Linked DNA regions of Rattus norvegicus. The protein of the gene in region 1 interacts with the protein of each later gene in a biochemical or structural test. Links are inferred from orthologs where the notes say so. Each region holds a gene or a part of one and is shown in the gene's direction. Other genes may lie near its edges.

What was found.
Region 2: the proteins of Ube2e1 (region 1) and Ipo11 form a complex in vitro, tested with the Homo sapiens proteins (2 studies listed by BioGRID). The link is inferred for Rattus norvegicus from reciprocal best matches to the Homo sapiens genes UBE2E1 and IPO11.
Region 3: the proteins of Ube2e1 (region 1) and Rnf4 form a complex in vitro, tested with the Homo sapiens proteins (2 studies listed by BioGRID, with this or other methods). The link is inferred for Rattus norvegicus from reciprocal best matches to the Homo sapiens genes UBE2E1 and RNF4.
Region 4: the proteins of Ube2e1 (region 1) and Trim32 form a complex in vitro, tested with the Homo sapiens proteins (2 studies listed by BioGRID). The link is inferred for Rattus norvegicus from reciprocal best matches to the Homo sapiens genes UBE2E1 and TRIM32.
Region 5: the proteins of Ube2e1 (region 1) and Prkn form a complex in vitro, tested with the Homo sapiens proteins (2 studies listed by BioGRID). The link is inferred for Rattus norvegicus from reciprocal best matches to the Homo sapiens genes UBE2E1 and PRKN.
Region 6: the proteins of Ube2e1 (region 1) and Trim23 form a complex in vitro, tested with the Homo sapiens proteins (4 studies listed by BioGRID, with this or other methods). The link is inferred for Rattus norvegicus from reciprocal best matches to the Homo sapiens genes UBE2E1 and TRIM23.
Region 7: the proteins of Ube2e1 (region 1) and Rnf167 form a complex in vitro, tested with the Homo sapiens proteins (3 studies listed by BioGRID). The link is inferred for Rattus norvegicus from reciprocal best matches to the Homo sapiens genes UBE2E1 and RNF167.

Annotation. Positions count from the first base shown.
Region 1 is NC_086033.1:9,868,933-9,873,565, forward strand, and holds the start of Ube2e1 (ubiquitin-conjugating enzyme E2 E1), read left to right. Parts: upstream 1-1,609; 5' UTR 1,610-1,793; intron 1,794-1,883; exon of another isoform or gene 1,884-1,884; coding exon of another isoform or gene 1,885-2,202; exon of another isoform or gene 2,203-2,294; coding exon of another isoform or gene 2,295-2,297; intron 2,298-2,331; coding exon of another isoform or gene 2,332-2,364; coding exon 2,365-2,516; intron 2,517-4,633. UniProt on the Homo sapiens protein: Accepts ubiquitin from the E1 complex and catalyzes its covalent attachment to other proteins. Catalyzes the covalent attachment of ISG15 to other proteins. Mediates the selective degradation of short-lived and abnormal proteins.
Region 2 is NC_086020.1:39,902,496-39,905,820, reverse strand, and holds the end of Ipo11 (importin-11), read left to right. Parts: intron 1-1,161; coding exon 1,162-1,326; 3' UTR 1,327-2,505; downstream 2,506-3,325. UniProt on the Homo sapiens protein: Functions in nuclear protein import as nuclear transport receptor. Serves as receptor for nuclear localization signals (NLS) in cargo substrates.
Region 3 is NC_086032.1:80,627,189-80,630,688, reverse strand, and holds the end of Rnf4 (E3 ubiquitin-protein ligase RNF4), read left to right. Parts: exon of another isoform or gene 1-1,107; coding exon 1,108-1,117; exon of another isoform or gene 1,118-1,441; coding exon 1,442-1,601; exon of another isoform or gene 1,602-2,097; coding exon 2,098-2,146; exon of another isoform or gene 2,147-2,637; coding exon 2,638-2,787; 3' UTR 2,788-2,895; downstream 2,896-3,500. UniProt on the Homo sapiens protein: E3 ubiquitin-protein ligase which binds polysumoylated chains covalently attached to proteins and mediates 'Lys-6'-, 'Lys-11'-, 'Lys-48'- and 'Lys-63'-linked polyubiquitination of those substrates and their subsequent targeting to the proteasome for degradation.
Region 4 is NC_086023.1:84,019,291-84,023,974, forward strand, and holds the start of Trim32 (E3 ubiquitin-protein ligase TRIM32), read left to right. Parts: upstream 1-1,341; 5' UTR 1,342-1,398; intron 1,399-4,684. UniProt on the Homo sapiens protein: E3 ubiquitin ligase that plays a role in various biological processes including neural stem cell differentiation, innate immunity, inflammatory resonse and autophagy.
Region 5 is NC_086019.1:52,212,807-52,217,668, reverse strand, and holds the start of Prkn (E3 ubiquitin-protein ligase parkin), read left to right. Parts: upstream 1-1,937; 5' UTR 1,938-2,096; coding exon 2,097-2,184; intron 2,185-4,862. UniProt on the Homo sapiens protein: Functions within a multiprotein E3 ubiquitin ligase complex, catalyzing the covalent attachment of ubiquitin moieties onto substrate proteins. Substrates include SYT11 and VDAC1.
Region 6 is NC_086020.1:37,045,900-37,050,054, forward strand, and holds part of Trim23 (E3 ubiquitin-protein ligase TRIM23), read left to right. Parts: intron 1-620; coding exon 621-742; intron 743-2,999; coding exon 3,000-3,278; intron 3,279-3,808; coding exon 3,809-3,991; intron 3,992-4,155.
Region 7 is NC_086028.1:55,857,940-55,862,537, forward strand, and holds the start of Rnf167 (E3 ubiquitin-protein ligase RNF167 precursor), read left to right. Parts: upstream 1-1,314; 5' UTR 1,315-1,926; coding exon 1,927-2,010; intron 2,011-2,086; coding exon 2,087-2,167; intron 2,168-2,190; exon of another isoform or gene 2,191-3,077; intron 3,078-3,298; coding exon 3,299-3,424; intron 3,425-3,522; coding exon 3,523-3,610; intron 3,611-3,772; coding exon 3,773-3,863; intron 3,864-4,042; coding exon 4,043-4,148; intron 4,149-4,258; coding exon 4,259-4,352; intron 4,353-4,598. Other genes in the region: Slc25a11 (mitochondrial 2-oxoglutarate/malate carrier protein), read right to left, coding at 1-101, 187-339, 864-958.

The DNA of each region.
Region 1 (4,633 bases):
TAGTAATATTTGGGGGGGGGGGGACACAGGGTCTCAATATGTATCGCTGGATGGCCCAGAATGCTATACACATCAGGCTGGTCTCAACAGAGGTCTGCTTGCCTATGCCTCCCATACCTGAGTCACCATGACCTGCTGGTATTATCATTGATAAGCTCTTCCAGCACATACAAAACAAAACACTTGTGGAGATTTCTTCTAAATTTATGTTTGCCTGGCAGTGGTGGTGAACACCTTTAGTCCCAGCACTTGAGAAGCAGAGGCAGGTGGATCTCTGTGAGTTCCAGGCCAGCCTGGTCTGGAATTCCAGGACAGCAAGAGCTACACAGAGAAACTCTGTCCCAAACGGGGCAAATCATTTGCTTTGGGTAGTAGAGGAAGGGTTCTTTCTGTTGAAGGAGGTTCAAATGGTGGCCTAGGAGAGGTCTTATCACTAATCTTACACACGATTTGAAGACAACTCTTACTAGATGCAGGTTTCCTTGAAGATTTGAGTGGAATAAAGTGTGTAATTACGTTATGAATCTTAACACAGCTGGAGTTTCAGATGGACAGCTAGAAGGGGTTTAGCTGGGTAGTGAGAATGCCTGCTCTCCTGGCTACTGTCGGTGAGCTTTCTTTATATCCTGTGTGGTAACTGAAGCCAGGGTTGCCATGGGAGGCAATTTGAATGAGGTCATTTAAAGTGGACCATGGAAATCTGAGTGCAGTTGTCTGCCCAGGACACAAGATCTTGTGTGTGTGGACCTTGTACTTGGATGGCAGGGGTCTGTTCCCTTTAGGGTAAACGACAAACAGGTAAGAAACGAAGTCCTAATTTAATGGTGGGATGTTTTTAAAAATAAACTTCGGTACAGTGCCACACAAGGAACAATTTAGTGACATTACTGTGTAACTATTCTAAAAATATTATTTGAATAGCATCATATTGGAGTAAAGAGAAAGTAGGGTGCTTTCTAGAACTTTTTTTTTTTCCAATTTCTAAGACTCAGACATTATATCTAATCTAAGAATTCCAAATCCTGTCAAAAATCATCGGCTCATGGTTTATTTCCAGTGATATTACAATCCCATGCCGGGTCGTGGTTATCTGTCACGAACTCCAATCGCATACATTAAAAAAAAAAAAAAAAGTCCACATTCTTCTCTATAAGAAGTGAAGGGCAGGGGGGAGGGGGGTATCTAGTGTAAAATTGCACACGCCTGGTGTGTCCTAAACAGAAACCCGTCTGGGTTTTTTCTCACAGGCGTGACCTCTGCTCCAAGCACGCAATTGCCAGAGGGAGGAACAAGTGTCAGCCCAAAGGAAAACCCTGTTAGGGGATTTTCCCCCCCTTTCTTTACAAACGGATCACTTTTGGGGAGGAGTCAAAGTCCTCGCCAGGAGAGTACCACCTTTTCCCTTCTCCGGCCATCTCACCCCCCAGCCCTTCCCTAAAGCCCTCCTGGGAAGAACTTCCCCTGGTCACCCCGGTTTCCACCGGGCCCAGTCGTCTCCCAATCCCGCCCGGCTGCCTCGGCTCCGCCCGGCGCCCGGTCCCCAGGCCACGCCGGGGTCGCTCGGGGCTCTGGGGCCGCGGCCCCCAGGTGCGGCGGGGGAGGGGCGCGGGGCGGGGCGGAGAGGAGGAGTGGCGCGGAGCGTGTGCGGCCGGGGAAGCCATTGCCTGGTTAATAGTTGCTGTTGCTGCACTTCCGCTTCTCTCCCAGCGAGAGCGAGACACGAGTGGCCAGGCCCAGCCGCAGCCGCAGCAGCAGCCGCGGCGGCGGCACGGAGCAGCCAGACACAAAGAGAGGTGCGGGGGGCCCCCGGGGCGGGCGAGCGGGCCGCGGGGCCGGGGGCGGACGGCACCGCCGGGCCACAGGCAGCAGGGCCGGGCGGCGGGGATGGGGCGGCGGGCCGGGGCGGCGGGGGCCGCGCGAACTGTCAGCGGGGCCCGGTCCCCGCGGGGACCCGCCCGCCCGGGGCGCATTGTGCGCGCCGGCCTGCGAGCGCAGCCCCGCGTGGCCGGGCCTGGCCGGGCGCCGTGTCCCCGCGGCCCACGCGGCCCACGCTCGGCTTCCTCACCCACTCTGGCTGCTCGGCTCGTCCGGACCTCACCAAACTCGAGCGGACGCCGGGAGGCCTCAGGGACGGCGGCGACGGCTCCTGGCCCTCCTCAGGCCACCCCCCGCGCGATCGCGGCCCCCGCGTCTCTTCGGCCGGTGCGGCGGTGGGCCCGGAGCCTCTGCAGGGCGGCGGGGGCGGCCCGGCCCGCGCCCTCCTGACAGCGGAGTTCCCTCTTTGCAGCGCCTGCATGGTCTGTGTTTCTGTTTTGTTTCCTCCCCCTGCAGGGGCCGTTCGCGGGGTGGGGTGGGGGGTTCGCTATGTCGGATGACGATTCGAGGGCCAGCACCAGCTCTTCCTCATCTTCGTCCTCCAACCAGCAGACCGAGAAAGAAGGCAGCACCCCCAAGAAGAAGGAGAGTAAAGTCAGCATGAGCAAAAACTCGAAGCTCCTCTCCACCAGTGCCAAGAGGTATCCCACTCCTTTCTCCACAGACATCTAGCTTCCCGGTCGCCTCGTGCTGCATGTCAGGGAGGGAGGCTTCAACGACGACGTTCTCAGGCAGGAAAATGGGGCACGGGAGTCCCACCTGTTTTCTCTCCTGCTCGCTGCTTCTGGTTTTGTTAAAGCCCATGTCCACAAGCAGGAGTTGTGGTTGGCCTCGTCCGTTTCTTGTTGGGAGTTTCAAGAATCCTCATTACTTTTATGAGTGACTCTCGCAATGTGATTTCAGAGTCCTCGTTCTAGTAATCACGACTTCCTAGAGGCTGTCATCATACTTCATTATTAAGCATACCTTCCTGGGCAATTCTGTCAAGACGAGTTCTGACCATCTTTCTTCCTCTTCACCTGTTGCAGGGGTTGTGTTTTCTGAACTGGGTTCCCCCCCCCCCCCATACATTACTTAAGGAATAACTAACTCCCATTAGTGGTTAAAGAAATTTACGTGATGTTTTATGGCGGCATTTGAAGAGCCTCTGCCTGTTTGGAGAGTTGAGGTAGTGAAAGAATCACTGAGTGACTGTAAACTTATTTTATTTCAGGTATTTTGGGGAGATTTTTTTTTTTCCTTTTCTGTTTAAGAACTTCAGTTTGATACTTTTCAGGAAGACTTGTTTATTAGACAGGGTCTCTTGTGGCCCAAACTGGCCTTGAACTCAGCACAACTTCTGTCTCAGCCTCTTGATTGCTGGGGTTACAGAAGTGAGTCACTTACTTCAGCCAGCGATAGTCTTTTGTGTAAAAAGGCAGGTAGATATACTTTACCTCTGTCGACCTTAAGTCACATTCTCTGATCCCTGTGATCCTTAAAATAGTCTCTAGCAGGTACCTGGGAACTCCCTGACGTCCTTTCATAACTCCTCTTTTTGTTGAGATAGTTGGCCATAGTAAGGAACAGAAACTGTGGGCTGGTGGGGAAGGGCATTCTCTAAAGAATTTAAATGAAGTGGAAGGTCTAGATGGCGTTGGATCTCTCTGCTGAGTAGTGAGCCTGGCACTCAGAGATTGACAGTCTCATCTGTCCTTTTCCCTGACCTGAAATTCAGAAACTTGGTGTGCTGTCTTAGTGACCTAACCGGACTGATATATGGTGACTTCAGTCATTTTAAATGGTTAGTGTTCAGGTCTCGAGAGCAGTGTTGATGCTTTGATAAAACTGCTCTGGGTTTCTCTGGTTTTTGGTTATATCTCAGACCCTCCAGGGTCTTTGATGACCTCCGAGAATCTCCCTGAGCCTAGAGTCCATCCATCTTGCTCTGGATGGCCTTTCTTGGTCACTCTCTGTCTTCTTAGGCTCTCTGTTTCACTTTGGCCTGTCCTGCCCTAGTGCAGGACATGAGCTGTGATGTCAGTGGGGCTTTTGCATTAAGCTAGAAATCGGTGCGTTTGTGACTGTGTTAGGAAGAAAATGGACAGGTATAGAAAGTAGTTTGCATTTTATCAGTATAGCACAAATAAATAGATTTCTCCATAGATATAGCTTGTCTTGTATGCTTAGAAGGCTAGAAACTTAGTTCTGGGTGTAGTGGTACAGGCCTTTGATTAGCTCGGCCCTTGGAAACAGGCAGGTAGATGTCCTGTGAGTTCAGTCAGCCTGTTCTATAGGGAGAGTTCCACGACACTCTGTCTCATGAGCAAAATACCAAGCAAAAAGTGTAAAACTGTGGTAGCTCAGATGGGAGGGTGTTGGCCGAACAGGCATGAAGCACCACCAGGAATGGTAGCACAGGCCTGTAATCCCAGGGCTATGCCAGGTAGGATCAGTCTTCCTTTCTCAAGGTCTCTGGAGGGTAGGAAGAGGCCAAGTATAATGCACTGAGCCCTGCTGCCTTTAGCTGGACCTTCTTCTCCTGTCAAAGGGGACACTGAATGTTGACTGGAGAAGTTCCTACCCTTAGAAAACCGTTGGGACTAGATGGACGGCCACTGCCATTCCTTGTCAGCCTGGCCTACGAGGGACAAGTTGGGAGCAGCTGGTAAAGAGACATGGCAAGTAGGAAGGGCAGCTGGGGATCAGCAAGTGACGGCTTTACCTGCAAGCCAGTGTGCTGAATGCAGCAGGTTTAGACGCCTAGAGAACTTGTTCC
Region 2 (3,325 bases), on another chromosome or scaffold:
CAAGGGGCATATATCCTTTTCTTCTCAGTTGTATTTTAACATCTATATGACTCAAACAGAAGTTATAGATTGAATTGAGCAACATCAGGGAAGGCATTCATAGCTTTTATTGAAAGTTATATAGATGTTCATGGTCACTGATGGTGAAATAAATTCTCAGCTTATATTGTGTTGTTTGCTGTTACAGTTATAAGTCATTTAAATAATATCAGTGCCAACACAGTGTTAGCTACTTAATACTGTTATGTCTTTTATATTGGTACAAACCATAAGGAAAACATGCTGATAGTCCATATAGGAGTCAGAAATTTTTTTTATGCTCTAGTAGTTCTTTAGATTCCTAGGAGAACAAGGTGAAGTTCTGAGCACAGTGGCATATGCCTACAGTGCCAGTGTCAGAGGCGAAAGCAGCAGTTCAAGGCAGACCGGAGCTGCAGCTTCTAACGTGAGGCGAACCTTGACTGCCTGAGACCTGCTCTAACAAAAGAAAAGAAGCTGATGTATAAAGAAAGGCCACTTACACAGTAACACAAAGCAGTGTGGTGTATTCAGCAAACTTATAGATAAAATTGTTAAACTACACTGTGGTCTTACATACGTTTAACAGGTTAAAAAAACATGGCATACGTTAAAATACTGAACATGTGTTAAGAAAGAATTTTGTGATAGTATGAAGGTGAAAAAGAGTACTAATGTATAGCTTATAGTGTGGACATAAGTAGCATAAAAATATTAAAAATTGAAATTTTTTTTGATTTTCAAAATACTGTAATGGGACTGGGGGAAAAACAAAATCTGACACTTCACCCCAACCTAAAAACATCGGCACAGATTAAATGGTGTTGCAGTGTAAGCTAGAGCAAATAGTGTGTGCTTACTTCCTGGGGCTGCTGTCATGGAGTCTCTGTCCTTAGGAGGTTGGGCAGTCGCTTTGGTACCCTGTTTCTTTTCCTTTTATGGTGCTTTCTGCTAAATTCTAGCACTTTAAAAGGATGTGTTCCCAGTTCTTGAGAAACAGGGTACATCAGAGAGACACACTTGGCCCAAAAAAACTGTCCGCAGGAGAGTCTTTAGAAGTGCCGCTGTGAGAGATTAGAGAGCACAGTGAGGCGTGTGTAGGGTTGTCTGTCTTACTGACCCTGTCTGCCCTCTGTCCCACAGCTGGCCCTGAAGGACCCTGTGCACACAGTGTCTCTGCAGCAGTTCATCTATGAGAAGCTCAAAGCACAGCAGGAGATCCTGGGGGAGCAAGGCTTCCAGTCCCTCATGGAGACGGTGGACACAGAGATTGTCACCCAGCTGCAGGAGTTTTTGCAGGGATTCTAAGGCGTGCTAAGTGGCCGCCGTCCCTCTGAGAGAGGCCGAATACCCCAACCTGCCATCCGGATGTGAGCCTGCTGAGGAGGTCATTTGTGTATGAATATAAAGAAACCAAGACCATACATTTTTACTATAAAATATAAAGAATAAGTATAAATCCCAAATATTAAAGTCAGAAAACTATTCCTCAAAAGAATTTAATTTTATATTTATGAGGGGGCCCTGTGTTTACTAGAGGTGCATTTATCGAGAGTAGCTGCATTGCCTCTTGTTAAGAACCTCGTTGATTACATTTTAATCATGGGCTCTTAACACTCGAGAAGATGAAGGCTGATGTTCCAGATGTTTTCAGCAACCCGAATTACTTATATTTGGTTGCCTTATCCTAATTTTTTTAAGCTAATGAAACAAGTTTGAGAAATGAGAATGCTGTGTAAATGACAGAATTAAATTTGTGCATAGGCAAACATCATGACAGCTGCCCACTACCTGGGTATCTCACCAGGGAGCTGTTTTCATCAAATCAAATGCTTTTATTTTCATTCTAGTAGTCTGACATAGGAATTGGTAAAGGCACTTTTAACTTTACTTTGAGTGCATACATTGCAAGGCACATGGAAGTGAACCTGCAGTACTGTAGTGCCAAGTGGGAGACCACTGGTGAGGCTCTAGCCCTGGCTTCTTTGCTACATGTGAAGGCCAGTAGCCCTGGGAGCACCAGGAAGAACCAGATAACTCCAAGTCCCCTCCGCTGTGACAGTCATGCTTGGCTGTGACAAGCTGCCCAGTATTTACCCATCTCAGGTTCCTCAGTGCAGGGGTGCGTCAGCACTTCAGTGCCATGGGTGCACCTCAGAGGACCCAACAGCAACCCCCAGGGTACTAGCACTGACATAACTAGTCTTCCTTCCTATTCCTCCATTGCACTAAGCATGCGAGGGGGAGAACTGACGCCTTACTTTGCATTACTTGCCATTGTGAGGAACCTTTAGAGCATCTCTTAGGAAATACTCAAAAGCAAGATTGGAAATGTCTTATCTTTCTATAGAAATTTGGGTACAGTGTATAACTGTGGGAAAACCACTACCCCTCTGTAAGCTATGGAACCCATAATGTCTACGGATATATGATGTTTTCAGCAAAGAAAGAAAATATGGTCCAATTAAATTTTCCAAAGATACCTCACCTTTGACTTCTTGCCTGTTTTTCTTGCCACCTACCCTCTGTAACAAAAACATAAAACAGTTCATTAAAATGACTAGTGGGTTACAAAGACAGTTCCTTTTACACTATGGTTCCACTTCTCCACCCATAGATGGTACCAGTACTTCAGTATTCAAATCTTCACTTGAAGAGTGAGCTTCTTGTTGGAGTAGGTGTGGCTTTGTTGGAGGACGTGTGTCACTATGGAGCAAGCTTTGAGACCTCCTAGGTCTCCTATGCTCAAGCTCCACCCAGTGTGGCAGTCTCCTGATGCCTGCAGATCAAGATGTTGACATCTTAGCTCCTTCTCCAGCACCATGTCTGCCTGCTTCCCTCCACAATATGTACTAAACCTCTGAAACTGTAGGTAGCACCAAGAAGTGTTTACAGGCAACTTCTTTATAGTAGTTGCTGTGGTCATGGTGTCTCTTCACAGCAATAAAACCCAAACTAAGACAACCACTGTACACAGCAACAAGATGGACATAATATCTTCTTTTGGCTTAATTATTTCCCTTTGAAGCATTCTCAGCTATGTCACCAGAAATTCCCAACACCCGTTCTTGGCTACAGAGAATCATTACCTTCCCCCCAAGCCCCCAATATGGAAAGGTTTAATGAGAGAAGAAGAGTAGAAGAAGAGAGGAAAGGCCAGCCATGAGCATGTTGGGGGAAAGGGGAGAATGGAGAGAGAAGGGACAGGGACCAAGGGGGCACAAGAAGAGGAAGAGTGAGAGCAAGAGAGAAGAGCTATTACCCTATTCTTGACAGAGTGTGTTACAGTGCACAGAAAAGGCACTGA
Region 3 (3,500 bases), on another chromosome or scaffold:
AACTGTGTATGCGCGTGCACGTGTGTGTAGACGGGTGGTGAGTTGGTATTAAAAAGCCTAGAAGAAGCTCCAGACTTGATTCTGAAATAACTTAGGACTTACTAATATCAGCCTACCAGGTGAGCTTTTATATGTGCTGCTCTAGACTGAAGAGCAGGCAGCAGAGTTCACCCCTGTACTAGAATCTTTGGGCTTAAGGAGACGGTGGTGTGGGCTACCTTTCTCTGAGCTGAGTCCTTCAGATAAAATGTGGAAGGTGGGAACTGACCTTGGGACTTTGAGACAGGGTTTCTCTGTAGTCCTGGCTGCCTTGGAACTTGGTATATAGACCAGACTGGCCTTGAACTCCTATCCACTTGCCTCTGCCTCCTAAGTGGTAGTGTTAAAAGTATTAAGAAGCCTTGCACCACCACAGCCAGTTAAGGCCAACAGTTTTGCTGCAAAGGAGTCCAGATGAAGGGTATGACGGAGTGACACAGGGTTGGATGGACACTAGGGGACTCATGTTTTGTGCTTTTCAGAAGTGCTGCATCCTGTATGGTGAAAAGGAAAAACTTACAGCCATTCCTCCCATGACTTGAATGTTCTCCTTTTCTAGAATGTGGCAGTAATCTGAGTTGAATTGGTAGAAATTGTCAGTGTAAAAACTGAATGTGGTGGTACACACCTCAAATCCAGCACTTGGTGAAAGGCAAAGTTGGGTCTGAAACCAAGATCATCTTTGGCTACATTAATGTGTGTTCTGAGCTACCTAACAAGTGTTTGTCTAGTTCTTGTTAACAAAAGGCTGACTCACGATAATACCTAATTGATCTTTTATGATGTTAATAGCACAAATCCTTCTCCAAAGGCTGTTATTGTCTGTTGGTAGCAATGAGCTTTGCTGATTATTCTCAGAGAGGCATGTTGACTCACAGATGCACTGACCTGGAGATGTCTATAGGTGGTCTGTAGAAGTACACGTACATCATCTCCCTTCCCTGGGAGTAAGGGAGCACTGGGAAGCCATACATATATACTAGATGCAAGGTGTGTTTTATCAGAGAAAATGTCAGAATGTTTATAACACACTCTTCTCTTTTTCCCTCCCCTGCCCTCCATCTTCAGATTGTTGAAGGTAAGCTGGTTTAATTTCTTTTTTCTCTGGGTTGTTATGAATAAATGCCATAGCATTGCAGGCTGTCCTTCCAAGACCTTTCGGCAGGAAGATGCCTTTGGTCAGACTTGCTGTTTTACTGACAATCTCTGCCATGCTACCAGGGGCTGAGCTTTATTCTAAGAAGGCAAGTGATGATGGGCCTCTATGCCTTGATAGGACCTGAGGGCAGAGCTACTATGTAGCAGTTTCTCTCTGGAGAGCTCAAGGGGAGAGAAGGTCTTCAGAGGCATAAGAGTAAATGGGATTAGGTGAAGGTGGCTGAAAATGTGACTTTTTCCTTAGAAAGGAGAAGGCCAAGGAGAAATGGGAGGAGGTTGCGCCAAGACCATGCTGACAGCTGTGTGGTGAGCAGTGATGATGAAGAACTGTCTAAGGACAAAGATGTATACGTGACTACCCATACTCCTCGAAGCACCAAGGATGAAGGAACTACTGGACTTAGGTAAAGTGCTCTGTGTTACTGTGTTGGGTAGAGGCCAGGGTTACTGCATATGCAAACAGGTATGTTAGCTCTTGCTCCAGAGCACAATCTTCCAAGCAGGTGAGCACATTGGGAATACAGGGTTGGGCTCAGCTGTCTGCTCAGGATAGACAGTTGGTAGATAGAGCAGGAGCCAGACGTATCCACAGTTACCAGGTTGTCACAGATGGGGGTGGCTATAAGGTGTTACAGGTGCCACTAGCAACAGTGCTGGAAGTAAAAGAGGTGGGCAAGCCTACTTAACCACATCTTTTATTTAGACCTTCTCTCATTCCCTTTTTCAATGGCCGTTGGAGCCCAAACCTACAGTTACTTTACCTTTGTTTTTTGGGTGCCTGTCCTAACTCAGCAAAAATGAGAGATTTGGTAGAAGATATAGACTGTGTATTTGAAGTTGCTTTACAGGGTATAATTGAGTACTTTACTTAGAAACTGATGCAAAGCATTGTGATTTTAGGCCCTCGGGCACCGTCAGTTGTCCGATCTGCATGGATGGATACTCTGAGGTAAGCAACCTACTTCACTCAAAAGAACTTGGAGGATTTGTGCATTGTGTGGAATTTGATACCTGTCATGAGGCTAATTTGCAAGTGTATGTGTCGGTGGTGGTGGCACATTTTATCTTTAGCCCTTGTGCAAATTGATGTTTCCACTCCAGCTTTAACTAGAAGCTGCTGGCTTTTTTTTTTTTTTTTTCTTCGGAGCTGGGGGCCGAACAGGGCCTTGTGCTTGCTAAGCAAGCGCTCTACCGCTGAGCCAAATCCCCAACCCCGCTGCTGGCTTTTTTTTGAGGTTCCTCATAATCACTTTGTACTACTGCACTTGGCGAAGTCCTGTCCAATGAGACTGTTGTATATGCCTCTGCCTTTTCTGGTATAACCCAGCTCCTTTGTTTTACTGGTCTCCTTGTAGAAAAGGGGATACTTTAAGGCTGGTTTTTTGTTTTTTTTTGTTTTTTTAAATCTTTATTAAAGGCTGTTCTTTTAATGTCTTCTAGATTGTGCAGAATGGGCGTCTCATTGTTTCTACAGAATGTGGCCACGTCTTCTGTAGCCAGTGCCTCCGTGATTCCCTTAAGAATGCTAACACTTGCCCAACTTGTAGGAAAAAGATCAACCATAAACGGTACCATCCCATTTATATATGAAATGTTCACAACTGCTCAGGATAGACCAATGGACAGACAACCGGGCTGGCTTTTCTGCATGGTATCTGCCTCCAGTTTCCTGAGCTCAAAAAGACTTTCAAAAATCAATGTCTGATGTAAACTGGTCTTTTGTTTTCCAACCCCTTACATCCTTTTGTTATCTCCAGTTTGATGCTATGGAGCACGATCCAGGGATCCTCCCAGATCAGCTCAGCATCTCTGCCCCTCTGGGTGGTCTGAACCCAGAGTTGGAAAAAAGGAGTCAGGCATATTGCAGTTGAGCATCATGGCTCTAGCCTCTTTGTGGAGCTTATGTGTTGGTCAAGAAGTTTCCCTGTTGGGAAAGTTTGCCCCAGTTCTTGTGGGTGCAGAACATTCCCAAGGCACCTGCCAGTTAGCTATTCTGCCTGCCAAACAGTGACCTGGCCAGACAGTCCATCTAGTCCAAGGATACCAGTACATAAACTGCCCGTGAAACAGCCTAGCTGGTGGACTTAGTTTTCCTTCCCATGAGAGCAGAGGTGACCTGTGATTATGCCTGAAACTTATCATTGATGTGCAGTGTTTTCTGCAAATCAAGAGACTCTGCAGGGCAACCTGTTTCCTAAGAATGAGAAAGTGCAATAAAGCCTGTTCTTCACTTGCTCTTCAGCAATCTGGAAGATGTAGCACTGCTAGTATCCTCAGCCCAGTGTTGCCTGTGGGAGCAGTGC
Region 4 (4,684 bases), on another chromosome or scaffold:
TCTTCCACTTTAAGGATACATTCCAACAGTTTTACCTAATAATCGCAAGTCAGAGTCAAAGGTTGGTAATAAGTGCCCATTCAGAGAACTAAAGATAGCTCAAGATAAACTTGATTAAGTGTGTATACCAGGTTTCTATCCTTTCACATTTGAAGTTCTAGGCATTTGGTCAGTCCATAGGATTGCCAGCACAGATAAAATTTCTTCAGAGAACTTCGAGTCACATGTTCTCTGAGCAGGTCTTGGGAGTTCTGGGTGGCTGGATTGGCTCAGGGCTCTAGAATTATCTGAGATAACAACACTGTACTCAGGGTAAAATTGTGTGAGAACTCCTGCATCGCCCAGAAGAGAGTCCAGTTGGAGAATGACTAGCCTGGTTCAGAGTTCCATCTAAACTGATGTCCTGTGGATATAGAACCTTGGACAAGTTGGGGATGGGGGGGGGGTAAATTTGCTTTTCCCATCTTTCTGAGTTCTAGTAATTCATCAAAACAACCCATAATTTTATTTCGAGATAAAGAAACGGAAAAATAAAACAAGGTTAAGAATGCTTCTCAGAAATTAAATCCAGGTTCTGGCAGGTAGAAACTGGTTACTTTGGTCTTTGACCCCTAGGTCTCAGTTTCTTTACCCAAAGTCTGTAGTTTGTAGGCAAGTGTTTAAAGATATTACTGGTTTTGTTTGTTGTCTTATCATCAGTGCAGAGGGTACTCAGCTTGGTGGAATTTCAAATATGAGAGCCTAGTATTTCAGATTCCTTCATATTCCCAACTAGTACTGTGTGTTCATCAGGTTCAAGAGCAGGTATTACCAGTCCCCATCAGGACCTGACCAGTCACTGGGCCACAGAACTGACCATCTGATAAGACTGAATGCAGGCTTTTCCTTGTTTTCTCCCTTTGCTATCCGCCTCCATGCTGTGAGGCAAAGAAAACCTCTTTCCTAAGTGCTGTGTATTCTGTGACTCCACTATGGGATGTGTCACAGGCAGAAAGACCTAGCCTGGGGACCTGCTGCTCTTTGAAGGGAGTGTGCTCGTCTTCCCTACATAAGATTAAAAGAGGCGTCTCTCTGTAAGGTGCCAGAACTTTCTGGAGACTACTACTGAGGGATTAGCATTGACTAACCCTGTTTAGACTCTGAAATAGCGCAGAAAGCTGGATCACACGCTGCAATGGCCTAGGTTTCTGAAGCCATCCCTACCCATTTAGCTGGGCCGCAGGCGCTGGGCCGTGGGCCTACAAGCCCCAGCATGCCTCGGGAGGCGGGGCAAGTTGACAGACAGGCGATTCTACAAATTGGCTATTGCCGTGGGATGTACGCGCTAGCGCATGCGCAGGAGGCAGCGGGCGGGTGGGCTGGCAGCGGTGGACTCGCGTCGGAGCCGCGGGCGGTCAGGTAGGGGGCGGGAAGGAGGGTCTGCGATCAGGGACTGTGGTGGGTCGCGGGGCTCCAAGATTGAATGGCAGAATTTGGGGACTGGATCTGAGTGGCAGGACCGGGTTGGGGAGGGACGGGCTCAGGAGCGATTCGGCGGGGCTGAGATGCAGCTGGGGGAGGGGAGCAAAGGGGCTGAGGAAATTTGCAGTTGCAGCATGTCGGGAGAGAGGTATGAGGTAATGTGGGGGCCATGCGGAGAGACGGGGTGCAGCATGTGTAAGATGCGAGGACCTGAAGTGCCTGGAGGTATCTGGGTGCATACTATCAGAAGCAGAAAGGAATTTGGCAGGCCTGGATGAGATTGGGTGTTGGCGGGCAGAATCTTAAGGGCTTTGAGGAGATCGGTGTAATGGTAGCAAGATCCGAGATCAAAACAGCCAGAGTCTTGGAAGATCCTAAATGCTGAAGAGAAAGGGATTTCTGTAGCGGAATCTGGGAAAGATTGAGGGGTGAGTTCCCAAGGGAATCAGTACCCAGTTAGCAAATCGCAGCAAAGGTTTGAAGGCAACACGTGAGGCAGGACGGGGGCGGGGGTGGGGAGGTTGGAGGTGGCACAGTACAAGATGGGGAATGCAGATGAGGGAAAAGGTTGAAGGAGGCAGAGTCTAAGGTACAGGATTGGAGTTTGGAGCTGCCATACGTGGGTGATAGGAGTGGAAGTTTGAAAATAGATGAAAGGATGTAGGGAGTTTGAAAATAGATGAAAGGATGTACCAGAGGGATGTGGGACACATAAGAGCTATTGGTGAGTTGCAGGGTTGCAACATACACAGTCTAAGAGGTTGAATTCTAGATTTGGGATTTATTGTTGAGAATGGGGTTTGTAAAGGATTGAATGGTGGGGAGTGAATGTTGTAACTAGATTGTACAATTCAAAACCAGGTGAAATTTCTGAGACCACTAAAGGAGGTGTTTGTTTGTTTGTTTGTTTTGTTTCTTGATTTCTGCATAATTGAACCCAGAGGGTGTTCTGAAGACCCAGGGACCTGAAAGTAATTTATAAATAAACTATGCATGAATGAATGGAATTTAGGAGAATGTAGGGGTTTGGAAATAAAGACACTGGTCTTCAGAAATCCTGAAGGAGAGTTTGACATTCTCTGAAGGGCAGAGTCTTCCTCACTTGCTAACTAAAGGCCCTTTAATCCTGAGGCAGACAGGTATTCTCACTAAATCCACTCTGACCACCCCAACTTCCCCACCACAGACTCAACATTATAGGCCTTGGGGAAGAACAATAAACTACCTAGGGGCTTTGCTACTTATCCCTTTCTCTGTACCCCTAAGCCCTCAAAGGTATAAGCCAAAATTATCTTAGATCTGACATCATTTTATAGAAGGTCTATTATAGCACAAAGAGGCAGTGATTCTATGAATGAAGTATTAGAATTGGGCGAGAAACAAAACAGGGTTGGAGCAAGGGAGAGCCTCACATGTACTGAGTATTTAGACTGTATCATTACCTAAAACCATAGTTCTCAGATAGGGTGGTTTTGTTCTGCCAGGAAACATTTGACCATGTCTGGATGGAGGCATTGTCAGTTGTCATAATTGAGGGGTTGTGGGGGTCTACTGATTTCTAGTGAACAACCCCCACAATAAACTGTCACCTAGCCAGAAATGCCAATCATGCCACAAATGAGGGACCTAGCAAGAGAGTCAAGAATTCTGGGTCCAAATCCTGGCTTTTTCTCTTCCTGCTTTGAAATCTTAAGACTTATTTGACCTCTCAATGCACAAGTTTGACCTCTCAATGCACAAGCTCTTCAGAGACCTGCATCCTAGGATTGCTGTACGGACTCAGTGAAATAAATCGGGGTACTTACTGTCTAGTGCCTAGTAAGTGTTAAGAATTTACTACTCTCAAAGATCTATGTGTACTTTCTTCTCATGGCAGTCCTTCTAAATATACTTTCTATGTCCAGTGTGACACATGAAACTAAGGCTTAGGAGATCACTTGTGTAAAGCCACATCACCAAAACTGGCAGAAGTAAACTGCCGTGTAAATTGCCACCACAGAATCTCCCCTCTTGCTTCTTTGCTGCAGTCGTCTTGGTCCTCCCTTTTCAGACTTTCCTAATGAAAAGGAGGCTTGCCCCATATTCAAAAGTGGGGTGACTTTTCTTGATCAGCAGAAGCCCTGGACTTTGTTCTTGCTTTGCTCTTAGACCAGAACCAGTGGGGAGATAGTGCAAGGAGTTTGGAGCTACGAAGCTGAGATAAGAAGACTCTGGCCCAAGGACAGTGCTAGACTGAAGGAGACTGCTCTGAATACCCTCCTTTGTGTATTTTGGTCTCAGGAACAGAAAGGTAGCATTGTCTTTATCAACTCCAAACCTAGCTACATTACAGGAGGCAATTTCCTAGTTAAAATCAGACTGGAGCTGAGGGCAGAACACTTGACTGTGATATCCACACAGATCACTTCTGGAAACACATGATGGAGCAGGTTCAGTTAGCCTTGGAATCAGGTGTTTTACTGCTTGTTTGGTGGTCAAGCACTAGTCAGCCTCTGTCTATAAACAGAGTGAACTCCACTGAGTGCTGACTAGTGTACATTCTCTCCATAAAGCTCACAATGTAAATGTTGCTCTTGATTCCATAAGGTGGGAAGTTAATAGGTAAGTTGCATGACATATCCTGGGCTTCAGAGCCTATGGCTAAGTGGGCATGTGAATCAGAAGTCACAAGTTGGCAAGCCTCCTAAAGTATGCCCCTCCGTATGCAGATGGTGTTACATTTTGAAGACTTCTTCCATTGTGCCTTTCTGATAGGACAGTATGGTTTAAAAGTCATTCCTGGATGAATTTACCCACCTGTTAGCCATATCTTGCCTGCAGGTAACAGTAGTCATATCCTCTATGAAAGTACATGTTTCAAGTGGGCCCTGTTGTGGCATAGTTCACATGTGGGCATCTGAGGGATGACGCTACTACAGTCCATGGTGGTAGAACCTGGACAGGTTACTTTTTTCTGAGTGTTAATTAGGATGTGGACTAACACTTCCTTCACAGAGTTAAGAGAACACATGTGATGTGTAGAAGGTGCCTGGCACTCACTACCCCAGGTGGCAGTTAGAAGATATGGTTTTAGCTATTAGCAGGCATCATAAGTGCCCCCAATCTAAAGTTCACAGACTTGTCTCCCTGGCCAGAGCTAAGGGAATGGTGAGTTTTGTTAGTGAGTGGCCTTTGTGGCACTGAGACCGGTTCACACTTGGTTCAAACTGGGTTAAAGTGCATA
Region 5 (4,862 bases), on another chromosome or scaffold:
CAGGCTCTTCTCATTGGCTGATGGAAGGTGGTGGGCAGACCTGACGTGGAACACAGGCTGTTACCTGCCATGTTTGATAACAGAAGCTCCTCTGCCTGTGTCCACAGTCAGCTCTACCTCCTCCCTCACTGCAGACGTACAGAGATTCCAGGCATGCAGTCTCCCGGCTGGCTTTATGTGGGCTCTGGGGTCCAAACCTACGTCCTCAGACTTGCATGGCATTTCCTTTATCCACTGGGCCATCTTCCTGGCCCTTTGTTTGTTTGTTTGTTTGTTTGTTTGTTTTGTTTTCCTAATTTGTAAGACAGATCTGTATATGGGTATCTTACCCTTTGCTGTAATGAAATGGGCTCATCATCCTGTTTTTCCTTTTAATTTCTATAGTTATAAGCACATGTTAATAAGTAATAGGGATTAAATATAGACATATGTTTTATTATATCATCATTTCATTCTTTAAATGTCTAAAACCTGCAATGTAACGACAAAAAATATTTAGTAATTCTTTGTTACGAATACATCAATTGTCTACAAATACACCAATCAATCACTTTCCAACCAAATTGAGTACATTTTAATCTTGTTAAAAATAATTATGAACCACTTATTTTTAAAATGCTAAAATAAGTTATTTACTTACTCACTTTCTAGGAGGTGTACCAAACAGATCTCAGAAAGTTTACAGTTCATTTAGTTTGTATGCTAGCCTAGCATTTAGAAGTCTTGATTAAATCTGATATATTTAGAAAATATTGGGAAAAATGAAATACTATACATTTAACACACATTTGTTAAATAATACTAATATTTACGTATTTTTATATTTTATATTTATATGTAAGTATATTATATTTATATAATAAACTTGTAACTAAGTTTATCTTACTTTAGGTATTATATCAAAGCCTTGGAACTATATATTTGACTGTAGCAGTTTGTAGAAAATGCTTTCCTTTTGACATGATTAGTAGAACTAATTGCTTTTAAATTGTCCTACCAATCAGAGATAATTTGCCATAAAAAGTATCTGAATACCTTCTTTGTTATGTTTGCGATGTTATTCCTCAGTGGCTAAGAGTTCCGATGAGTGAGTGAGTGATTTGCTGTATGGGGAGAGGACAGATGTGTGGACGGAGGGTGAGTAGGTGCAGGGTAGGAGATGGGAGGTGGAGCGTGGAAGGTAGAAGATGTATAGATGAACAGATGATGGGTGGAAGGATGTACAGTAGACGATCGAGAGCGAGGATAGGGGAAGAGAAAGGATGGGTACACGAAAGAGGGTGGAAGGTGGAGCAAAGGCAGGCTAGGTAAGGAAAGGAACTTTGCCAAGAGTTTTGCTTCCTGGATAAAATATCACAATTATTTATTATTATTATTATTATTATTATTATTATTATTATTATTATTATTAACAGTAGCCTTAGTTCTGGTCTGTCTGAGACTGTCTGAAGATGATAGTGGTAATTCACTGATCCCCTGTTTTTCTGTTTGAATTCAGAATAACCCAACCCAAATAACACAAAATAGTCTGAGAGAAAATGACTCTCTCTAATGCCAATCTTAACCTTACTGTAAAGGTAAAGAACTCTGCTGTAGGCTATTGAGACTTCTCCATAACTAACAGTATAAATTGTTCTCTTGGTCAACCTGCAGTGGTGCACACAGACACCAGACAAGAGGGAGAGGTCTCTGAACATACCAACCATGAACATGGTTTTAGGCATACTGGATTTATTGGGAGGGTACATGAGCCTTTGGAGGTGGAAGAGCTACTCTCTCTCCTTCGTCCTCTGTGGCCAGGGCTAACAGTTCAGTGTAAAAGTTAAGCTTGCAAAAGCAAGAGATTGGGAGCCCTGGGATGCCTGTTTCTGCCCTCCTTGTAAATAGTAAGCAAGCCCCTCTTCCTCTTTACTCATCTTGTAGGTGGGAATAGTAAATGCTGTCCCAATTATCTCGCCATGCTCCTGTGAAGATTAACTGAGATAATGTCCGTACAAGCACTTCGAAAATAGAAAGCTGTATCTGAGCCAAAGATAGCGCTATCAGGACACCACCATCACTTGAGATCAATTGCTAGGCACTCCACAGCATAGTGCATGGAACTCCGGGAGAAGAAATGGCTACAGTTATCCAAACATCAGTACTGCATATTCGACGTGGAAACACAATTACTTCTAAGACATGGTGGGATTCTAGTAAAAGTAAATAATGATTAAAATTTACAGAATTGTACTTTCCTTGTATTAATTTCTTTAATTATCATGACCACTGTATGAAGTAATTACTATTATTATTTCCTACTTGACTTAAGATTGATGGAAGGAGAGTAACTGTGAACCACAGTTACAGAGGTCACAAGGAGGGCAGAGGTAAATGTCAAGTCCAGGAAGCAGTTCCTGAGGCCAGGATTACAGCCATGGCATCGGCCTCTTGTTAGATACATTCTTAATTGCATTCCCTACCTCCCATTCTTCATCTCTCATAGTGCTAGTCAGAGATTAAGGAAGGAAATGGAGGAATTCATCCCAGAAATGAGGAAAATTAGAAAGCCAAGGGAGAAAGGGAGGCCAGTGCATAGTCAGGTGGACATAAAGAAGTGTTAGAGCCATGGTGAAATTCTAGGGGCTGCTCTTTCCTGGGACACTAACTCTCTCACCTACCAGAGGGGTTCAGAGTCCTAATCTGTGGTCTGTCTCCAGCCTGGGAAGCTGAGAGCATGAGGAGACATGAATATAGCCACATGAGGTTCAAAGCACTTCTAACTGGACCAGGGAGGAATGGGAAGGCAGGACATGTGACTTACAAGCTCTCTTGAATTTCCAAGTGGTGACAACACATAAAGGTTCATTGGATATCAGCTAATCAAACCCTAGTATATCTCCTACTCTCCACTCATTTTCGCCTCCTGTATATCTGCTCTCAGCAAATGCTATCCTGTCCACAGGCACTGTCCTCTGCACAGACGCTGCCCTCTCCACAGATGTTGCCCTCTTTGCAGACACTGTCCTCTCCACATTCTCTGTTCTCTTGTCAGACACTGTCCTCTCCACAGACACTGCCCTCTCCACACACACTGTCCTCTCCACAGACTCTGCCCTCCTCACAGACACTGTCCTCTCCACATTCTCTGTTCTCTTGTCAGACACTGTCCTCTCCACAGACACTGCCCTCTCCACACACACTGTCCTCTCCACAGACTCTGCCCTCCTCACAGACACTGTCCTCTCCACATTCTCTGTTCTCTTGTCAGACACTGTCCTCTCAACAGACACTGTCCTCTCCACACACACTATCCTCTCCACACACGCTGTCCTCTCCACAGACATTGTCCTCTCCACAGACTCTGCCTTCCCCACAGATTCTGTCCTCCCCACATACTCTGTCCTCTTTACAGATACTGACCTCTCCTCAGATGCTGTCCTCTCCACAGTCTCTGTCCTCTCCATAGTCTCTGTCAGAGAGGACCTCAGATCCCTTGGAGGTGGAGTTGGGGACTTTTTGAGATGTCCCATGTGTACTAGGATTTGAACTCTGATCTTCTGTAAAAGTAGCCATTTACCCCCGAGCCATCTCCTTAGGTCTTGTCTCCAGTGTTATTTTTAATAACTTAATCATTATTACGGATGTACTGTTTGTTCATTTTTACTGAGGTCCTATCTTTATTTGTATTTCCTCACCTTTTTCTGTCTTTGTATTTTCCCATCTCTCATCTGGAATAACACACTGTGTTTAATTATTGCATCCCCTTGGGTTCTTCTAGACTCAGATCATATTTCAGACATGTGTTGCTTTAGTGACCTTGAGGTTTTGAGTTGTGACCAGGCATTTTTGCAATGCTTATCAGCCGTTTTTTATCTGATGTTCTTCTTGGAGATTAGACTGGGGTTGTAGGATTTCAGGTGGGAGCCCACAGAAGAATGGGCCATTCTCAGTGTCCCCTTTCCTGCTGGCCTCCTCACCAAGGAGTGTTTGTCAGGCACCCCCACTGTGGAGGACCTCTGGTTCTCCATGCACATAGGAAGTTACTGTGCATATATGCTCTGCACCTTTGGACAGTTATCCTCTGACTGAGCTTCTGTCAGGTTCCCTTCTACCTTCACGCTAGAGGGGTTCACCACAAGGTGAGTGGCAGAATTTGTGCACTCCTTTTCTGGCTCTTTTCCTTCCAGGATTGCCTTTCTCCTCAGAAGCAAATCCCTCAGGTCTCAGCCTCTTGCTTCACTTAAGACAGCACTGAGGCTTTGCTTACAGGAAGGCTCCCAAGGATAACCACTCTGATACAGTCTATAGTCAATTGAAAGTCTGTATTCCAGTCAACTGGAACTACTCTCAGGCATTTGGGACCCAATTGTAACCCGAGTATGTGTGTCCAGAACACTGGATTTTTGAAGCTTCAGTTGGGTTTCACCAGAGGAGGCAGTTTAACAGATGCTAAGATAAACTCCCTAGGGCACCTTGACCTTGGGGTCCTAGAACATGTTTTGGTAATTTTCCATGGATTGTCCATCAAGGAGATCAAATTCCAATTAAACCTGAAATGCCCTCATCAAGACCAGAAGATACAGGAACCTCTGCACTGTCTTGCCCCGTCACAAATAAAGTAACGAATTTGCAATTCACTAATCTAAGATTATAAAATACTATATGTAAATATTCATGGATACTGCACATGTATATAAATACATATGTGTATTTACTTTATAATTATTCCTTAGGCCAGGATATCACAAATTCTGATACATTCTATATATAATATTACAATAGTATAGCTATGTTCTGACATATAGTAGATTTGCTCTTCATAGCCAGGGACCTAGAGCCTGTGAGCAGATGCCCCTCTGTTCCTTTGTTTAAGATTCCCA
Region 6 (4,155 bases), on another chromosome or scaffold:
TCTGTGTTCATACGTGTGACTGCACTTTTATCTTCCTGTATGTAGGTGACCAGGGTAGATATTGAGACTCTTTGGGAACTGGCGAATATTGCTAGTCTTGCTACTGCTTGCTCCAGAGATCCCCTGTCTTTACATTTTAATGCTAGAATTACAAGTGAGCACCATACCCACTTGCATTTATATGGGTTTAGGGGACCCGAACTCTGACTCTGACTGAGTCATTTCCCTAGCCCCTAGTTTGTTGAACTTTATTTTTTCTGGTCTGTATGTATGTGCGTACATGTGTTTGTGTTTGTGTGTGTGTGCACTCACACAAGTGTGTTTATTCCTGGATTGTGATGTAAAATGTATTTCTTACTGTAGGTAGCTGTAAAGAAATATTTGAAAAATATTGAAATACTTGTTTTAGTTTATATAGTAAAAGTGAAATAAAAAGTTTGTAAGGTATGTGTCTACTTGTAAAGGTGAGAAGTTCTTTGTTAACGTTAACAAGCCCTTTTCCTGGCAACGTTTAGACATTATTAATGACTAAACTATGTGTGTTAGAAATCTTAAGGTATGTGTAAATTGACTAAACTTCCATTTTGTTACATTTACTTTTGTTTTCATATTTGTTCTAGGAGATTCAGGTGTCTGGGGTTTGAAAAAAAATTTTGCTTTACTGGAGCTTTTAGAACGTTTGCAAAATGGACATATTGGTCAGTATGGAGCTGCAGAAGAAGCCCTTGGGATATCTGGAGAGGTACTCATGGACCTTGTTGAAATATTTACTTCAAGATGCTTTTGTAATCCTAAAATGTTTTCCAATATTTGTACAATATTACCTTATTTGCTGTATCTGTGAGAATTTAGGAACACAAGTTTTTATGACATTACAATTCTAAAGTAGCTACTGTTCTCAAAAATAAAACAATTAAATTTGTTGAAGTTCTTTGTCTAATCTACTTTATGAGAAACTCTTCCCTCCCACAATTTAGTTATGTGTGAGGAAAAACCTTTAAGGTAGAACATTATAAGAGAATAAGAGAAATGTTTAATCTACATTAGTACAGAAAGTTTAAAGCTGAGCCTCAACAGCACAGTTCAAGAAAGGATAAACAAACGTTAGGAGAGACCATTCAGGTTAGAGGAGAGCTAGTTTAAATGTAACAGTGAAGGCTGAGGAAGTTGCTGCTATTAAATATTTTCAAAACAGTAAGAAAAAAGTTAAATGGTATGATTGATGTATGCTATCCCGACAAGCAGATATCTGGTAGGTATTGCCAACAACAAGTGACAACACATAGGTAGCATTTTAACAGTTGTTTGCACAGCTTATTTAACAAAGGAAAGATCTGTGTATAGAAGAATATTTGTAGTGAATAACTGTTAATAGTGTTAGTTTTGGACTTTAAAAACTGAGTATTTGATTTAAGAAGAAAAAACTCCAACAGATTAATTGTAACTTCCCTTTGGTGATTTCTTTCTATTTATAATGAATTGGAAAAATGATTTCTGAATTGAAGCATTACTCCTGTATAAAATTTCTACAAGTCTTTCATATATTATATCTTCTATCTTTATTTTAAAAACATTAGAATATTATGTACTGTTGATCTCATAAATTATTTATAAGGTCTAGAAAACGATATGAGAATTTTATGCTACAAATACACATTATTATTGCAAAGTAAATTGTTTCAATCTTTGCATTAAGATTTACTTTGATAATAAATGATATCATTTGTGTATTATCTATTATTTCTGGAAGAATAAACAAATGTTTCCTTTGCCAGTTACAGCTTTTTAATATTATATGGAAGCTTGCAAAGCATTCCTTATTATCTAGAAGTTATTTTATACACGTCAATGCCTTTTAGAAAGACTTTGGTATGGTTCAGTGCAGAGTACTTCATTACTACGGAAGAAACCCTGGGTTTAAGTACCTGGACCACAAACAAATAAAATGCTTTGTGATACTTAAAGTTAAAAATAATATTTAGCAGCTGACATAAAGGGCTTATTAGTTCTTTTCTAAATCTGTGGTTTTAGTCATGATTGTAGAAATCCATCCACCTATGGAGCTGTAGCCCATCTTAAGGCAGGGCGTCTTGTGTTTTCAAGCTAATTCAGTACCTTACTATCAGGTTATTGATGCAGCATAGTGCTGATTTTCTTTCTTTGCATAGTCACGGCAGGTAACTAAAGCATTGGGAATTTAAGTCCGTCTTTAAGAATCATGTTTCTGTGGTTCTGCTTCTGAAAATTTAATGGAAGAGGTCTTTGCCTTTTGACTCTATGAGATGTCTTTGTATGTAGTTCAATGGCAGCCCATTTGTCTGGCATTTATAAGGTTCTGGTTCAACCCTCAGCACTTGGGGGGAAAAGGGTATTCATGAGAATAAATTTACTTTTGCTTCAAATAATATCCTGTGTTGATAATTAGTCTCAGAAATAGCTTATTACTTAATAATTTTTAGTGGATAGGTGGCACATGACCTTTATACTTACCAGTATATTTTCGTTATTTAATAAAATTTGTGTGAGGCCATAGATGTTTACTGAATGCTTGTTCTGGGCCCAACAGACCAAACCAATACAGAGTTTAAGCTTAGTTTAGTTAATCGAGGAAGTTGGACTTTGGGTGGTTGAAGAACTCCCATGACCAACTAGCTAAGCTGTATCCAGCTGATGCGTTGAGTAAACTGTGGCTAGTTGTTCTCTGTGCCCTCCTTCTGTTTTGTAATGTGTTATTGCATCATGGATTAATGTCCAGAACTCCATTTGACTCTAGAAGCCACATATTTTGAAGATCATTTGCTTTGTTTACTTTGGTTTTCTTCATTCAGTTTCTTAGTTCTTTGTTTCTATTTGGAATGATTGACTTAACAAATTTCCTTTATTAATATCATATGTGAGCCTGGTAAGTTAAGTAGAAAAGATTGTGGGGTTTTGTAGTTCAAAATTTGCCATGCGTTAATGAGTGGTTCAGTTTTAAGGCATTAATTTTTATTTATTAGAGTATCATTCGCTGTGATGAAGATGAAGCTCACGTTGCATCTGTGTACTGCACTGTGTGTGCGACTCACTTGTGCTCAGAGTGTTCTCAAGTCACACATTCTACAAAGACACTGGCCAAGCATAGGCGAGTGCCTCTAGCTGATAAACCTCATGAGAAGACCATGTGCTGTCAGCACCAGGTACATGCCATTGAGTTTGTTTGCTTGGAAGAAGCTTGTCAAACTAGTCCTCTCATGTGCTGTGTCTGCAAAGAATATGGAAAACACCAGGGTCACAAGGTACGCACTGCATTCCGTCGGGTGACGAGTTATGTCACCAGCTTTCGTTGGCCTGTTTGCTTATTCAAAGACAGAAACAAACTTTAACTTTTGAAGACAGCTAAGTGACTAATGAGTTAGTATCAGTAATGTGGAAAGAGTTGAGAATTTTAATTTCAGAATGGTATTTCAGAGAGACTTTGTGATTATTTCTAGCAGGATACAGAAAATCTCATCTTTATGTGCATGTGTTTATAATACACTGTACTGCTCTGACAATGTATCTATTGATAACTCTTATGATTTGGACAATCTCTTGATTTCTTGTATAGAAACCATGAACAATACTTGAACTTCCAAATTCTGATTTCTCTGTAGTCTGCCTCTTAAAAAGAAGTGAAAATAAATTTGTATTTTTTGTCTTCTTACACTGTACTTGTTTGAAAGCTACTGTGACAGATGTTCATTTACATTAAAAGGGTTTTAAGTAGTTTTTGTAAATCACTATACACCTTTGTGAACTCCTTCCTACAATTGTGTTGTATGTATAGCACTCAGTACTGGAGCCAGAAGCTAACCAGATCCGAGCGTCAATTTTAGACATGGCTCACTGCATACGAACCTTCACTGAGGAGATCTCAGATTATTCCAGAAAATTAGTTGGGATTGTTCAGCACATTGAAGGAGGAGAACAAATAGTGGAAGATGGAATTGGAATGGCTCACACGGAACACGTATGGATTCTTTTCTTCCCTCTTTGTCTTCTCAGCCTTTTTCATTCTCATCTTTGCATCTTCTAGTAAATACCGCACAGTTACAGCGTGCTAGCACTACACTGGACACTGCACATGGACTGGTGTCCACAGTCTATCAGAGAGTTTCAAGTCTGGTAATTATT
Region 7 (4,598 bases), on another chromosome or scaffold:
GGGGTGTACCGTCAGCCCCAGTCAGGCGCTCAAACAACACTGTATATATACCAAGACGTGTAGTGGTGTAGGTGGCCTGGCGCAGTAGGCCGGCTGACAACCTGTGGAGTAGAAATGTCAGCACATCCGGCCAAGGTCTGAACCTGCCAACCAGCAACCTCCCTCCCCAACTTGAGGCCACAGTACCCAGTGTAAATGCCCCTCAGCCCTTCTGCCTTCAGGATGCTAGTGAGGGCATGGAAACTGGTTTTGTACTCTCGAGTCTTGGCGCCTTCACCACTCAACTGCATCCGGTTCTTCACCAGGTCCAGGGGCTGCACAAAAACGGTAGCGCCCATCCTTAAGTAAGACAGGGAAGAAATCAGAGGTCAGCTGTTCCAGCTCTACTGTAACCTGGCAGCAAGAAGTTACAAAGGTCAGGGACTGACATGCAACTAAGGATTCAGGAGGCTGGTGGGAATGTGTTTAAGTGTGTGCATCAAGGGAAATGTGCCAGAAAAAGTCCAGTTGCCCAGTAAAGACCACGCAAATCAAAATACTTCGGGCAGTTCTTTAAGGTTCAAGCAGAATTAGGACTACAGGAAGTCTAAGGAAGGGTGGAAAAGGTGTCCTATGATAAAGCCTTTAGTGGCCTCGACCCACAACCCAAACAGGCACAGTGAAGCAATGGTGGTGGAAACACGGGGCAATGACCCTTGAATACAGCCCAGTTGGGCCCCTGCAATGGGTGAATAGATCTTAGCAACCCATCAGGGACCCCGCACCGGCTCAATTTACTGCAACATACTCCCAAGTTGCACTGGGCCCAGTTGCTTGCTCCCATCCCTTCCTCCTTTTTCCCCAATCCTGGGGCCTGAGCTTACCCAGCCAGGCCCCCAAACAGGAACTTGACAGACTTAGGGGAGGTACGGGGTTTCCCGTCCATCCGGCCAGCCCCGGGACTCGCCGTCGCCGCCATCGTCCCTTGATGGCCCTCGGCTTTGGGTCCCGTGCACGCACAGCCCCGCTCGCGCCCAAGGTGACACCAGCGCGCAACAGGGGGAGGGCGCGCGCGCGCACGCCCCTCCGACAGGCAAATCTGGCTCCAGCTGGAAGCTAGGGCGGGCGCAGGCTCGTAGCGCAAAGGCAGCCGGGAATAAGGCGGGGCTAAGATGCAAGGCGAAGGGGCGTGGCCGATTTAGGAAGCTACCCTGTAGCTCCCGCCCCCCAGAATTGGAATCGCGGGAAAAATAGTTTGTTTGAAAATATCGCGAGAGCAAGTGAGTCAGTCGAGTTCGAGCTATGAGGCCTCTCGCGGTAATTTCCAGCGGCGAAGGAGGGGGTAAGAGGCTGGTGAGCATTCTCGCGATACTTGAACGTATCGCGGCGGCCAGAAGAAGGAGAGGTTTGTAAACAGGTAGCTCCAAGATCTCAGGGACTAAGGGAAAAAAATTAGATCGTTTGCTGAGCACCGGAGCTCCCTTCATCTCCGCAGGCACGCTCTACGTGTCGAACATTTCTTTCAACCGGCCTTTTTGGACCGGAAGTCCTCCGTCCTGAGCGTCCAATACTGGAAGCGGCCTTTCTTACCGGAAATCCTTTTCCAGGGGCATAGGAAGAAGGCCTACCTGGCCGGAAGTCCCACCTCCTTGAGATTTCTCCCACCCAGAAGTTATTTTTTGTTACCTGTTTGCCTTCGTTCCTATTCTGTTCTACTTCTGTACCAGAGAAAGATACATTGTCTCCCTTTCCACCTCCACTAAGCTGGTTTGATAGCTCACTTCCCGAATCGGAGTTCCTTCCCCGACGCCCCCATGTAGCTGAGAAGTGGGACCTAGGGGTGGTTGGACCCCTGGGATCCTGAAGGAGAGGCAGAGAAGGCGCAGGACTTGGCTTCTGCTCCTGCTATCAGGACGCGACCTTCCCAGCTTTACCCCTCCTGCTGCCATGCACCCTGCGGCCTTCCCGCTCCCTGTTGTTGTGGCTACTGTGCTGTGGGGAGCAGCCCCTATCCGAGGGCTTATTCGAGCGGTGAGTCTGAGGGTCGGATGGGGAAAGGGTGTTGAGAATGGGTTTCAGACTGGAAAATGTACTGTTTTATCTGCAGACTTCGGAGCACAATGCCAGCATGGACTTTGCAGACCTTCCAGCTCTATTTGGGGCCACTCTGAGCGATGAGGGACTCCAGGTGATGCTTTCCTCATTTCCCTACGTGTATCCTGGGCAGGGGTTAAGTATCCGTGCTCAGGAGGTAGGAAATGGTTGAGATAGCAGTGGAATACATTGGACTGTGGGATACAGTTCAGTGATAGGGTGCTTTTCCTAGTATGAGTGAGATTCTAGGTTGAATCTCCAGCAACCCTCCCCTCCCCCGAAAAAACATGTGCATGATCGTGTCCAGCCCAGAGTCCAGAATCTAGAGATAAAAGACAATGTCCACCCCTAGAACTCCCAGGTATTTTTTTACTTTATGTACTTAGGTGTGAGGGTGTCAGATCCCCTGAAACTGGGAGTTACACTCAGTTGTGAGCTGCCATGCCACATGGGTGCTAGGAACTGAACTCAAGTCCTTTAGAAGAACAGCCAGTGCTATTAACCACTGAGCCATCTCCAGCCCCTAGAATTTCCAAATTTAAGAGGAAGTCTGAGAACAGGTTAAGATAAGGAACAGGTGCTTATCAGCCATGTCTCTGGAGCTACTTACTATCTGCATGGATGGCTGTGGACAGTCTTTTATTGGAAAACAAGTAATAGAAATTAGTTTAGGGCTATTGTGCTAACTAGTGAGATAAGCATGTCTGTAGAGTTCATTACGAAGTTCTTGCCACATAACTACTGCCACAGCAGTAGAGTTGTAAGATGGCTAATTGGAAAACGAAGCAATTGAATATGCTGTGAAAGTCAAATAAGTAGCAAGCTGAATCACTGTCCCTGGGAAACTTAAAAGCAGAACTAAACTAGCCTTGAGAAGTCAAGGGAGCCTCTGGGTAAAGGGATGTTGTTTACTGTAATTGCATCTTCAGGAAGCTAAGAGATCTTTTCTGTTTTTTTGAGACTGGACTCTAACTCTGGCTGTCCCTAACTCACCGACCGTGCAGGTCAGGCTGGCCTCCCAACTCATTGCACTCCCACGTGCTGGGATTAAATGCATGTATCACCATGTCTACCTGAGTTGTAGATTCTGATTTGGGTGGGACCACAAGAATGAGTAATGGTAGAGTTGCCGAATACAGGTAGTATGTGTACTGTTATGTTTAGTAGGTCCTGTGGAAGACAGAATACTAAAAGATGGAAAAATCTGTTTGCCTTTATCCCTCAGGGGTTCCTTGTGGAGGCCCACCCAGAAAATGCCTGCAGTCCTATTGCCCCACCACCCTCAGCCCCAGTCAATGGGTCAGTCTTTATTGCACTGCTTCGAAGATTCGACTGCAACTTTGACCTCAAGGTTGCTGAATGGGGAACGGGTGGTAGTAAGCAGGGTAAAATGACACCAGGAATGAAGAAAGGCAAGGTTTGCAACTCTGTCCTGCTTTGTCTTTTTAGGTCCTAAATGCTCAGAAAGCTGGGTATGGTGCAGCTGTGGTACACAACGTGAATTCCAATGAACTTCTAAACATGGTGTGGAATAGTGGTGAGGATGAAGAAGTCTGTACTGCTGGGTCTCTCCATATAGTTCAGTGGGAGGGCTAAAGACCTACAGGGCAGTTGGTTGAGACCTGCAAAATGTGCCTAAAGCCAGTTTCAGGGGATTGAGGAATGGAAGGTTAAATCCCTAATCTCCTGCTCCCTACAGAGGAAATCCAACAACAGATCTGGATCCCATCTGTATTTATCGGAGAGAGAAGTGCAGAGTACTTACGAGCTCTTTTTGTCTACGAGAAGGGGTAGGACATATGCTTTCTTCCGTCTTCTTTTGGGTTCCATGCCAGTCTGGAACCCAACTTCACTGCCCTATCCACTCAGGTTCAGGGTCTTCCTCATCTGTTTTGATTTTCTCATTTATGCCTTGTCCCAAGCCAGTAACCTTAGTTTGCCTGGCTTGAGACTGTCTTTTTTTCCTCAGGGCTCGGGTGCTTCTGGTCCCAGACAATAGCTTCCCCTTGGGCTATTACCTCATTCCTTTCACTGGGATTGTAGGACTGCTGGTTTTGGCCATGGGAACAGTATTGGTAAGTACCTAAGGAAAGAACTTAGAAGGTCAGACTGGATCTGTAGATGGGAGGTCTTATTGGATTTTCCAGTTATTTCTTAAGCCTGGTCCACTTTTCCTTACCCCTAGATAGTTCGTTGCATCCAGCACCGGAAACGGCTTCAACGGAACAGACTTACCAAAGAGCAACTGAAACAGATTCCTACTCATGATTATCAAAAAGGTAAGGGCAGGGTTGGGGATTTTAGCTCAGTGGTAAGTGCAAGGCCCTGGGTTCAGTCCCCAGCTCCGAAAAAAAAGAGAAAAAAAAGGGTAAGGGCACTGGAATGGGACCCTTTCTCCTGGCTGCCCTCGCCTTGAAGGATTTTTGAGCCCAGTAAGTAGACCAAGGGTTCAAAGAGCCAGAAAGATGCCCCCTTTGGTTGTTTCTTACCAACAACTAACCACAAGCAAAGGAGCTAGGGTAGGA